Saccharomyces cerevisiae S288C: one gene and its partners. Changing the gene in region 2 together with the main gene of any one other region gives a genetic interaction. Each region holds a gene or a part of one and is shown on either strand. Other genes may lie near its edges.

Evidence for each region.
Region 1: mutations in ABP1 (region 2) and SLA2 are lethal when combined (synthetic lethality), as found in Saccharomyces cerevisiae (4 studies listed by BioGRID, with this or other methods).
Region 3: mutations in ABP1 (region 2) and ACT1 together harm fitness more than expected from each alone (negative genetic interaction), as found in Saccharomyces cerevisiae (3 studies listed by BioGRID, with this or other methods).

The regions. Positions count from the first base shown.
Region 1 is NC_001146.8:185,831-189,661, forward strand, and holds the start of SLA2 (Sla2p), read left to right. Parts: upstream 1-2,220; coding exon 2,221-3,831. Other genes in the region: VPS75 (Vps75p), read left to right, coding at 1-519; U2-type spliceosomal complex subunit CWC25, read right to left, coding at 516-1,055; SUI1 (translation initiation factor eIF1), read right to left, coding at 1,340-1,666. UniProt on the Saccharomyces cerevisiae protein: Required for cellular morphogenesis and polarization of the cortical cytoskeleton. It might act in concert with proteins such as CDC42 and CDC43 to limit the region of cortical patch formation to the cortex of the bud.
Region 2 is NC_001135.5:263,465-267,295, reverse strand, and holds ABP1 (Abp1p), read right to left. Parts: upstream 2,229-3,831; coding exon 450-2,228; downstream 1-449. Other genes in the region: YCR087C-A (uncharacterized protein), read left to right, coding at 2,829-3,290; CSM1 (Csm1p), read right to left, coding at 3,332-3,831. UniProt on the Saccharomyces cerevisiae protein: Regulates ARP2/3 complex-mediated actin assembly. Recruits ARP2/3 complex to sides of preexisting actin filaments, which may promote nucleation or stabilization of filament branches. Binds to actin filaments, but not actin monomers.
Region 3 is NC_001138.5:53,085-56,684, reverse strand, and holds ACT1 (actin), read left to right. Parts: upstream 1-1,988; coding exon 1,989-1,998; intron 1,999-2,307; coding exon 2,308-3,425; downstream 3,426-3,600. Other genes in the region: TUB2 (beta-tubulin), read right to left, coding at 1-349; Rab family GTPase YPT1, read left to right, coding at 699-1,319. UniProt on the Saccharomyces cerevisiae protein: Actins are highly conserved proteins that are involved in various types of cell motility and are ubiquitously expressed in all eukaryotic cells.

The DNA of each region.
Region 1 (3,831 bases), on a different chromosome or scaffold from region 2:
TTGGAGTCTGAAATGTACGACACTAGAGATTTTAGTATAACATTCCATTTCCATGGAATTGAGGGAGACTTCAAAGAGCAGCAAGTCACCAAGGTGTTCCAAATCAAAAAAGGCAAAGATGACCAAGAAGACGGGATACTGACTAGTGAGCCCGTTCCAATTGAGTGGCCCCAGAGTTACGACTCGATAAACCCGGACTTGATCAAAGACAAACGCAGTCCAGAGGGTAAAAAAAAGTACAGACAGGGAATGAAAACCATATTTGGCTGGTTCAGATGGACCGGCCTAAAACCCGGGAAGGAGTTCCCGCACGGCGACTCATTGGCGTCATTGTTCAGTGAAGAGATCTACCCTTTTTGTGTGAAGTACTATGCTGAGGCCCAGAGGGACTTGGAAGACGAAGAAGGAGAATCCGGGTTAAGCGCAGATGGCGACAGCGAGGATGACGATGGCAGTCTCGGTGAGGTGGACTTGCCACTATCCGACGAGGAACCAAGCTCTAAGAAAAGGAAAGTTTAGTAGTCTAGGTCCGGAGCGGGCTTGGACAACGGTTTCCCTCGTTGCGACATTGCTCTTTTTTTTGTTGAGTCTGGAGTTCTTCTTTGTTGTTTAGTTACCTTAAACTTACTCATTGGATCATCTTTAAGCAATTTTGACTTCTTCTTCTGCGAACTTATGGATGTTGCGGCACCAGAAGCGGAAATAGTAGTGGCCGCCCTTACAGGCGGTGTTGCAGGTTGGTTTAGTATAGATGAATCTAGTTTTTTCTTACCTAATAAATAGTCTTCCTTTTCGTCACTCAGTTTTGCATCCTGATACATCCATTCCAAGCCCGACTTCTTCAAAGCCAAGTCATTCTTGAGAGTCTCCGGCTTATCCTTGCTCGATTCGTTCAGCAGTTCATTTAGTTCTCGTTCTTTTTCAATTTCTTTCAATCGCGTGTTAAGCTTCTGCTGTTCGGTAATTAGATCCTGTTCGGTCTCCCATACTTTTTTTCTATTTTTCATAAGCTTGGGATTCCATGATTTCAACAGATTCAAATCGCCCGACCCCATGATAATGTACTCTCGATTTGGCCTTTCTTCCCTGTACTCAAAACTGAACGCTCATCTCTTTTGAGAAGCTGCATGCTACGTACCACTTGTTCTTATATCTCTGTATGTAAGCCCGCGGCGGGAGAAGAAGAAAAAGAAATAAAAAAAGATGAGATGTTATATTATATATTATAGTGTAAATATGCACTTGGACTTAAATAACTAAACAGTTACGTTTTATATAGGATAACAACACTAAGAAAGAAAGCGAGCAGCGAGTAAGCGACTCGGCGTAAGCCTTGAACTTAAAACCCATGAATTTTAATGTTCTTCTTTTGCAATCCCAGTTGGGAGATCATAAATTCGCAAACCTTTGCTCTTTGGTCACCCTGCAACTGAATAATCTCCCCCATTTCTGGATCCTTGACAATGTTACCATTACATGCAAAGTCCTTCTTTAGGACCTTAAGAATTCTCTTTAAATCATATTCCTCTGGGACACCTTGCACCGTAGTTAAAGTTTTTCTACCATTTCTCTGTTGGATACGAATATGAATATAGTTTGAAGTGGCGGTTTCGTCGTCTCCTGTGTCGGCGAAAGGATCAAATGATTTCAGATTCTCAATGGACATACGATTTGCTTCAGCTATATTAATATATTCCTTGTCTTTTTTGAAAAAGAATAGAAAGGAGAAAACCCCCAGCACGAAACGAAAACAACAAGTAGCTCTTCTCTTGTTTTGTCCTTTTGCAGTTTGCTTTTATCCCTGTGATGAAAAAAAAAAAAACTAAAATTTTTTGCCGGCGCATCGAAAAAATCTGTTACCCGACCCGTTATTGGTGATAATACCCATTTTTAACGCGATCACATATCATAAACTGCAGTGAGAGGGTCGTTTACAGTAGTTATAGTACCGAACCAAAAGACTGGAACCATGTACACATGATCCTTTTACGGGTACTTTTTATTGTAATGTAGGTCGGTGCGTTTTGTACGACGACGCAGCGGCTGCTCGTATAAAATGACGCGGTCGCGCGCCGTTTGACGTCCTATAGGAGAATGCCAAAAAGGGTGTTTTGCTGGAAAATATACATATATAAATATATATAAAGAATAGTGAAACAATAGAAATATTAGTAATACAGCCATAGCAGTAGTAGTGATAGTACTAGCAGCTAGAACAGGATGTCCAGAATAGATTCAGATCTGCAGAAAGCGCTTAAAAAGGCGTGTTCCGTTGAGGAGACCGCACCTAAGAGAAAGCACGTACGCGCATGCATAGTGTACACATGGGACCATCAGTCTTCCAAAGCTGTTTTTACAACCCTTAAGACGCTGCCTCTGGCCAATGACGAAGTGCAACTGTTCAAGATGCTTATTGTACTGCATAAGATCATACAAGAGGGACATCCGTCAGCGCTAGCTGAGGCCATCCGGGATAGGGACTGGATCAGATCTCTGGGTAGGGTACATTCTGGCGGTTCGTCGTACAGCAAACTGATTCGGGAGTATGTGCGGTACCTGGTTTTGAAGCTGGACTTTCATGCGCACCATAGAGGGTTTAACAACGGGACGTTTGAGTACGAGGAGTATGTGTCACTGGTTTCAGTTTCCGACCCGGACGAAGGGTACGAGACGATCTTAGATTTGATGTCGTTACAGGATTCTCTTGACGAGTTCTCGCAGATCATCTTTGCGTCGATTCAGTCCGAGAGGAGAAATACTGAGTGCAAAATTTCGGCGCTGATCCCGTTGATTGCGGAGTCATATGGTATTTATAAATTCATCACCTCGATGCTGAGAGCTATGCACAGGCAATTGAATGATGCGGAGGGTGACGCTGCTCTGCAGCCCTTGAAAGAACGGTACGAGTTGCAACATGCAAGGCTGTTTGAGTTTTACGCGGACTGCTCTTCTGTGAAGTACTTGACCACGTTAGTAACCATTCCAAAACTACCCGTGGACGCTCCAGACGTATTTTTAATCAACGATGTGGACGAGTCAAAAGAGATTAAGTTCAAAAAAAGAGAGCCCTCTGTAACTCCAGCGCGGACGCCGGCACGGACTCCAACACCAACACCACCTGTTGTTGCTGAGCCGGCTATTTCCCCACGTCCGGTATCTCAAAGGACTACTTCGACGCCTACGGGTTACTTGCAAACTATGCCGACGGGTGCCACCACTGGGATGATGATCCCCACTGCCACTGGTGCAGCTAACGCCATTTTTCCACAGGCGACGGCACAAATGCAGCCGGACTTCTGGGCCAATCAACAAGCCCAGTTTGCGAACGAGCAAAACCGTCTCGAGCAAGAGCGTGTGCAACAGTTGCAACAACAGCAGGCACAGCAGGAACTGTTTCAACAGCAGTTACAAAAAGCACAACAGGATATGATGAATATGCAGCTTCAACAACAAAACCAACATCAAAACGATTTAATTGCCCTCACCAATCAATATGAAAAGGACCAGGCTTTATTGCAGCAATATGACCAAAGAGTGCAGCAGCTGGAAAGTGAAATCACAACGATGGATTCTACAGCTTCCAAACAATTGGCTAATAAGGACGAGCAACTAACTGCATTGCAGGATCAATTGGATGTTTGGGAAAGAAAATATGAGTCTTTAGCCAAGCTATACTCCCAGTTGCGTCAAGAGCATCTAAATCTTTTACCTCGTTTTAAAAAACTGCAGTTAAAGGTGAATAGTGCGCAGGAATCCATTCAGAAAAAGGAACAGTTAGAACACAAATTGAAGCAAAAGGATTTGCAAATGGCCGAGTTGGTTAAGGACCGT
Region 2 (3,831 bases):
TCATGCATTTCTTAATCTTAACGTTCCATTGTAGCTTAAAACTGGTCTCTAACAAATCTATACATAGACTAGAAGTAAATCCGAAATAGTGAGCATAAGGAAAGCACCATGTACCATACACTTCTGGTAAACACCTGATGCGATTCTAAAACAGCATTATGGTTGTAGTAAGTATCAGATCTGTATGCGATGCAGGAGTGCAATAAGTTTGTTTCAGTGTTGTTTTATGTTCGAGGTTTTGACAACGCCGTACGGGCACACCGTCTGTTGAAAAATAATACTGTAGAGGAGTCATATAAACGCTTGAAACAAAGAAGGACAAGGCAAAATAATTTGTTCATTTTACTGAAAGGGAAGGCTCGTGAAAGTATCTATACAAAAGCTTTAACGTCTCTGTAAGTATTTTTTTACGTAAGAATAATATAATAGCATGACGCTGACGTGTGATTCTAGTTGCCCAAAGACACATAATTGCTGGGGAAGAGACCTTTTGAGCCGTCTTTCTCTAGTTCCCCTAGCCACCAGTCATCGTCGACAAATTCAATATTGATAATCTTGTCATTTTCCACAAAGGTCAGTTCGTTATCTTCTGCAGCATCGTAATCATATTCTGCTGTGGCCCAAGGATTTTCCTTTGGCTTTTTCTCTGGAGTTGCTCGTCTTGGAGGCGGAGGAGGAGCTGCAGAGCTTCTTGATGGCAGCTGTGGAGCGGCTTCCTCAGCTTCTTCTTCAATTTCTTCTTCAGGTGCTTGTTCAGGTGCTTCTTCTTGTTTTGGAGCTGGGATCGAGTTTCTAGAAGGTAAGCTTGGGGCGATCTCTTCTTGTTCAGGCTCTTCTTTTTGCACTGGTGCTCCTGACGCAACATTCCTCGAAGGCAAAGGAGGTTGAGCAGCCTCGTCTTCATCATCATCCCAGTCATCATCATTCTCTTCTGGTTCTTCCTCATTATCCGCTTCAATGTGCATACCGGGTAATGGGTTGCCGATCTTCTTGTAATCAGTCTTAGGCTGCTCGGCTTCTTCAGCTTTCACAGGTTCTTGTGGCTTGGAGAAGGGTTTTGGTGAGATAATAGTTGGTTCTGATTTCTTTGGAGGAGGAGCAAATTTGTTTTCCATTTCTTCCTCCTCTTTTTCTGAAGCGGCCAATCCTTCAAATTTTGATTTCAAATCTTTGACGTCAGGTTCACCTTCAGGCTCATCTTCTGGAACTTCAGGTTTTGGTGCCTCAGCCTTAGTTTCGGCGTTGCCGCTGTTTTGCTTTGCCTTTCTTTCGGCCCATAATTGAGCAGGTGATTTCTCGTTTCTAAAACCCTTAATGACTTTATCATCATCATTCTTTAATGAAGATTCCGTCATGGAGGGGGGTTTAGTGGTGCCCAAAAAGGAGTTAAACTCGGAGTCCCTCTTTAATTTTGATTCGTTCTTTAAATTAGCGATATCAGAACTAGGATCAATCTTGGAACCAGCAGCGGTTGGCTTTTGAACAAGACGTGGGTCCTCCTTAGCCTTTTCTTCAGCAATCACTTTTTGCAAGTCGATTTTGCCAATTGGTTTGTAAGATGATTGATTTGGTTTCAGGGGAGCCTGATCGAAGTCGCGTTCCTTTAATTCAGGCTCATTCCAATCGTCGTCGTCATTGTTGTCGTTAACACGGGAAGAAATCTTAGCAGCAGGTGCTGGGGAAGGAGTCTTGACTGGTTCCTTCTTAGAAACTGGAGCAGGGCTCTTGGAAGGTGTGAAGGATTTCTTCACGGGAGGAGTGGAAGCCTTCCCCTGTTGCTTGGAGGAAGTCTGAATAGAATAACGGGCACCGGCCGCGTTACTGATTTTCATCAACAGTTCATTTTCGTCAAGATCGTCCTCGTCTCTGGCGGTAACTTGAACGTGGTAACCCTTGAACAGATTATTAGCAACTGCAGCAAAATTGGCGGCGAAAGAGGCCCTTGTCTTCAATGGCGCAGAATCAGGACACCAACCAATGATAATAATCTTCTCAACGTCTGACCCTGGTGGGGACACACGTGCCAGTCCGTACTGGACCTTGGTTTCATCAAACAATTGCAAGAAATCGTGAAAGGAGGAACCGGTAGACTCAGGTTCGTATTCTTTTTTCGCATTGGGTGAAATAATCAACCAGGTGGTGTCAGGATCGGAGCCTCTGACAATCTTCAGGTACTCTGCGTCGATCTCTCTCGAGTGAGTAGTATAATCAATAGGTTCCAAAGCCATTGTGATTGATAGGTGTGTGCGTGTATATACGTGCGGTTATGCGATTGTTTGTTTATAGATTGAACTATCCAATATGGTATACTCCTATTATATCCTTTTTTTCTACTTTAATCGAGGTTTTCCGCATTGTGAAAAAACAAGTGGAAATAAGAGACACAAGGCCACGTGACGCACATTTATACAGAAATACATCAATGGTTGCATAGTAAAGCGAAAACAAGAGTTCCTCGAGGGCGTATGATGCTTGAAAACGATTAAAATCCTATGGAAAAGGAATGCCTTTTCCCTCCATTGCTGACGGGATATTGTGAACTATTGACTGTCTCATTTAACTTCCTAAAATAAGTGCTCTCATGGACAGAGATATCAAAGTAACGTCTAAATATTAGCTTTGTGACTACTACATTGATGCAGATGAGTGGACTAGCAGCATCTCATAATAAATAAATCAAAAATAAAGGTTCATTCTCTTTTGGTTGCTTTTTGCCTTGACGGGAAAAAGTGAAAAAAAATTGAAAATTTTTAACTTGCGATGAGCTCTAAGAGTATTCTGTATACAACAGCAAACGGTCTCAGTCAAGAAATATTTGTTATTACAGGATGGTTACGTTCAACTGTGAGGTGTGTAATGATACTGTGCCCAAGAAGAATACCGAAAAGCATTATTATAGATGTCCTAACGCGTACTATACATGCATAGATTGCTCCAAGACGTTTGAAGATGGCGTGAGTTACAAGAATCACACGTCTTGCATCAGCGAGGACGAGAAGTACCAGAAAGCGTTGTACAAGGGCAACAAGAAGCAGAAGCAGAAGCAGCAGCAGAAGCAGCAGCAGAAGCAGCACCAGCACCAGCCAGTGGCAACTCCTGCAAAGAAAGTGGAGAAGCCTGTGATCAAGAAGGCAGAGAAAGTGGAAAAGACCTCGAACGGTATCGAGCTTCACAAGGGCAAGTCGTTGTACAAAATTTTGAAAACCATGAAGGATAAAGGGGCAAAAAAGACCTTCTTGAAAAGTCTGGTTGTGGATTCTGAGGGGCAAATCAGGTATGCAAAGGAATAATCGGAATTTTATGTGTAGATATATAGACATTATGTAGCAGCTTACTCGGTTTCATCTTTTTTCTCTCTTTTCTTATTCAGGCTTTTAGCGATTTTGTTATAGAATTGGTTTAGCGACGAGAGGGGGAAACTCAACGTTTCGAAGAGGTATTCCGGTAGTTTCGACTGTAGCGAGTATAGTTCCTCGGTGGATCGCTGTTTAAGAACGGGCGCATATATGACTTCTGTGACTTGGGCCTGGCCCTTGACAAATCCGAGTTTATAGTCCATTATCGAATAATCATCGGAAGATCCCCCTGAGTGGGTGCCCTGCGAGATGTCGAACCACAACCCAGAATCATCCTCGTAGCTTTTATGTACACGTACGTTACAGAGGTACTCGTAAAGGTCCTTTATGACTTCTGAATTTTCTGCCTGTTGGGAAGTCTGAGTCTTCAGCTCCTTGACTTGTGCGTTTAGCGAGTCTATCTGCTTCTGCAGCTGTTTGATCTCGGTTGCTTTTGTATCCAGCTTCTCCGACAGTACGAAATTCTCATTTACCA
Region 3 (3,600 bases), on a different chromosome or scaffold from region 2:
TGACGCTGTCTACAAGCTCAGCACCTTCTGTGTAGTGACCCTTGGCCCACACGTTGCCCGCAGAACTTTGCCCAAAGATATAATTGTCAGGTCTAAACAAATTCCCGATGGCAGAATTGCGTACTGCGTCAATCGTCCCAGGTTCTAGATCGACGTTAATAGATCTTGGAACCCACTTCCCAGAAGATGCCTCGTTGAAGTACACGTTCAGTCTCTCCTTCTGGATATCGTCATGGCCGTGATATGTCCCATTGAAATCCAAACCGTGCTCACCACAGATAGTTTCCCAGAATGCAGCACCAATTTGGTTACCACACTGACCTGTCGAGATATGAATGATTTCTCTCATTATATTACTTTGTGGAGATTTTGCTTTTGTAGTTGTAGTAGCTGCTATGTCACTCCAATTGCCTCACCACTACTTCACTTAGATCTATTAAAGTTTTCGTGTTTGTTTTAGTTTTTGTTGTTTTTTCTGTTTTTTTCCTTTTTCCTTGTGGCGTCGCCTAGGTCACTGTACACGTATATCGTGACCCGGCGCCAAATTCCTGATAGTACTATTTTTTTTGGCCCATGGGGGGAATAAAGAAAAAGAAGAGAAGCCAGAACAAATTCAGCGATTAAGTGCACCAGTTTTGAGGAGGATATCTTTACTGTTAGGCCCAGGTTGAAATAAATAAAACAAGAAAAGCACTAATATGAATAGCGAGTACGATTACCTGTTCAAACTGCTGTTGATCGGGAATTCCGGTGTCGGGAAGTCCTGTTTACTTTTGAGGTTTTCGGACGACACATATACCAACGACTACATCTCCACAATTGGAGTGGACTTCAAGATTAAGACTGTAGAACTGGACGGCAAGACTGTAAAGCTACAGATTTGGGACACTGCAGGTCAAGAACGTTTCCGTACTATCACTTCATCTTACTACCGTGGTTCGCATGGGATCATTATCGTGTATGATGTCACTGACCAAGAATCCTTCAACGGCGTGAAGATGTGGCTGCAAGAGATTGATCGGTATGCAACCTCAACAGTGTTGAAGCTATTGGTAGGTAACAAGTGTGATTTAAAGGACAAGCGTGTCGTGGAATATGACGTGGCAAAGGAATTTGCGGACGCGAATAAGATGCCGTTCTTAGAGACTAGTGCTTTGGACTCCACCAACGTCGAGGATGCGTTTTTAACCATGGCTAGACAAATCAAGGAAAGTATGTCCCAACAAAACCTGAACGAAACCACTCAGAAGAAGGAAGACAAAGGGAACGTCAACCTGAAGGGACAGAGTTTAACCAACACCGGTGGGGGCTGCTGTTGAACAAGCGCGCCTCTACCTTGCAGACCCATATAATATAATAACTAAATAAGTAAATAAGACACACGCGAGAACATATATACACAATTACAGTAACAATAACAAGAGGACAGATACTACCAAAATGTGTGGGGAAGCGGGTAAGCTGCCACAGCAATTAATGCACAACATTTAACCTACATTCTTCCTTATCGGATCCTCAAAACCCTTAAAAACATATGCCTCACCCTAACATATTTTCCAATTAACCCTCAATATTTCTCTGTCACCCGGCCTCTATTTTCCATTTTCTTCTTTACCCGCCACGCGTTTTTTTCTTTCAAATTTTTTTCTTCCTTCTTCTTTTTCTTCCACGTCCTCTTGCATAAATAAATAAACCGTTTTGAAACCAAACTCGCCTCTCTCTCTCCTTTTTGAAATATTTTTGGGTTTGTTTGATCCTTTCCTTCCCAATCTCTCTTGTTTAATATATATTCATTTATATCACGCTCTCTTTTTATCTTCCTTTTTTTCCTCTCTCTTGTATTCTTCCTTCCCCTTTCTACTCAAACCAAGAAGAAAAAGAAAAGGTCAATCTTTGTTAAAGAATAGGATCTTCTACTACATCAGCTTTTAGATTTTTCACGCTTACTGCTTTTTTCTTCCCAAGATCGAAAATTTACTGAATTAACAATGGATTCTGGTATGTTCTAGCGCTTGCACCATCCCATTTAACTGTAAGAAGAATTGCACGGTCCCAATTGCTCGAGAGATTTCTCTTTTACCTTTTTTTACTATTTTTCACTCTCCCATAACCTCCTATATTGACTGATCTGTAATAACCACGATATTATTGGAATAAATAGGGGCTTGAAATTTGGAAAAAAAAAAAAAACTGAAATATTTTCGTGATAAGTGATAGTGATATTCTTCTTTTATTTGCTACTGTTACTAAGTCTCATGTACTAACATCGATTGCTTCATTCTTTTTGTTGCTATATTATATGTTTAGAGGTTGCTGCTTTGGTTATTGATAACGGTTCTGGTATGTGTAAAGCCGGTTTTGCCGGTGACGACGCTCCTCGTGCTGTCTTCCCATCTATCGTCGGTAGACCAAGACACCAAGGTATCATGGTCGGTATGGGTCAAAAAGACTCCTACGTTGGTGATGAAGCTCAATCCAAGAGAGGTATCTTGACTTTACGTTACCCAATTGAACACGGTATTGTCACCAACTGGGACGATATGGAAAAGATCTGGCATCATACCTTCTACAACGAATTGAGAGTTGCCCCAGAAGAACACCCTGTTCTTTTGACTGAAGCTCCAATGAACCCTAAATCAAACAGAGAAAAGATGACTCAAATTATGTTTGAAACTTTCAACGTTCCAGCCTTCTACGTTTCCATCCAAGCCGTTTTGTCCTTGTACTCTTCCGGTAGAACTACTGGTATTGTTTTGGATTCCGGTGATGGTGTTACTCACGTCGTTCCAATTTACGCTGGTTTCTCTCTACCTCACGCCATTTTGAGAATCGATTTGGCCGGTAGAGATTTGACTGACTACTTGATGAAGATCTTGAGTGAACGTGGTTACTCTTTCTCCACCACTGCTGAAAGAGAAATTGTCCGTGACATCAAGGAAAAACTATGTTACGTCGCCTTGGACTTCGAACAAGAAATGCAAACCGCTGCTCAATCTTCTTCAATTGAAAAATCCTACGAACTTCCAGATGGTCAAGTCATCACTATTGGTAACGAAAGATTCAGAGCCCCAGAAGCTTTGTTCCATCCTTCTGTTTTGGGTTTGGAATCTGCCGGTATTGACCAAACTACTTACAACTCCATCATGAAGTGTGATGTCGATGTCCGTAAGGAATTATACGGTAACATCGTTATGTCCGGTGGTACCACCATGTTCCCAGGTATTGCCGAAAGAATGCAAAAGGAAATCACCGCTTTGGCTCCATCTTCCATGAAGGTCAAGATCATTGCTCCTCCAGAAAGAAAGTACTCCGTCTGGATTGGTGGTTCTATCTTGGCTTCTTTGACTACCTTCCAACAAATGTGGATCTCAAAACAAGAATACGACGAAAGTGGTCCATCTATCGTTCACCACAAGTGTTTCTAATCTCTGCTTTTGTGCGCGTATGTTTATGTATGTACCTCTCTCTCTATTTCTATTTTTAAACCACCCTCTCAATAAAATAAAAATAATAAAGTATTTTTAAGGAAAAGACGTGTTTAAGCACTGACTTTATCTACTTTTTGTACGTTTTCATTGATATAATGTGTTTTGTCTCTCC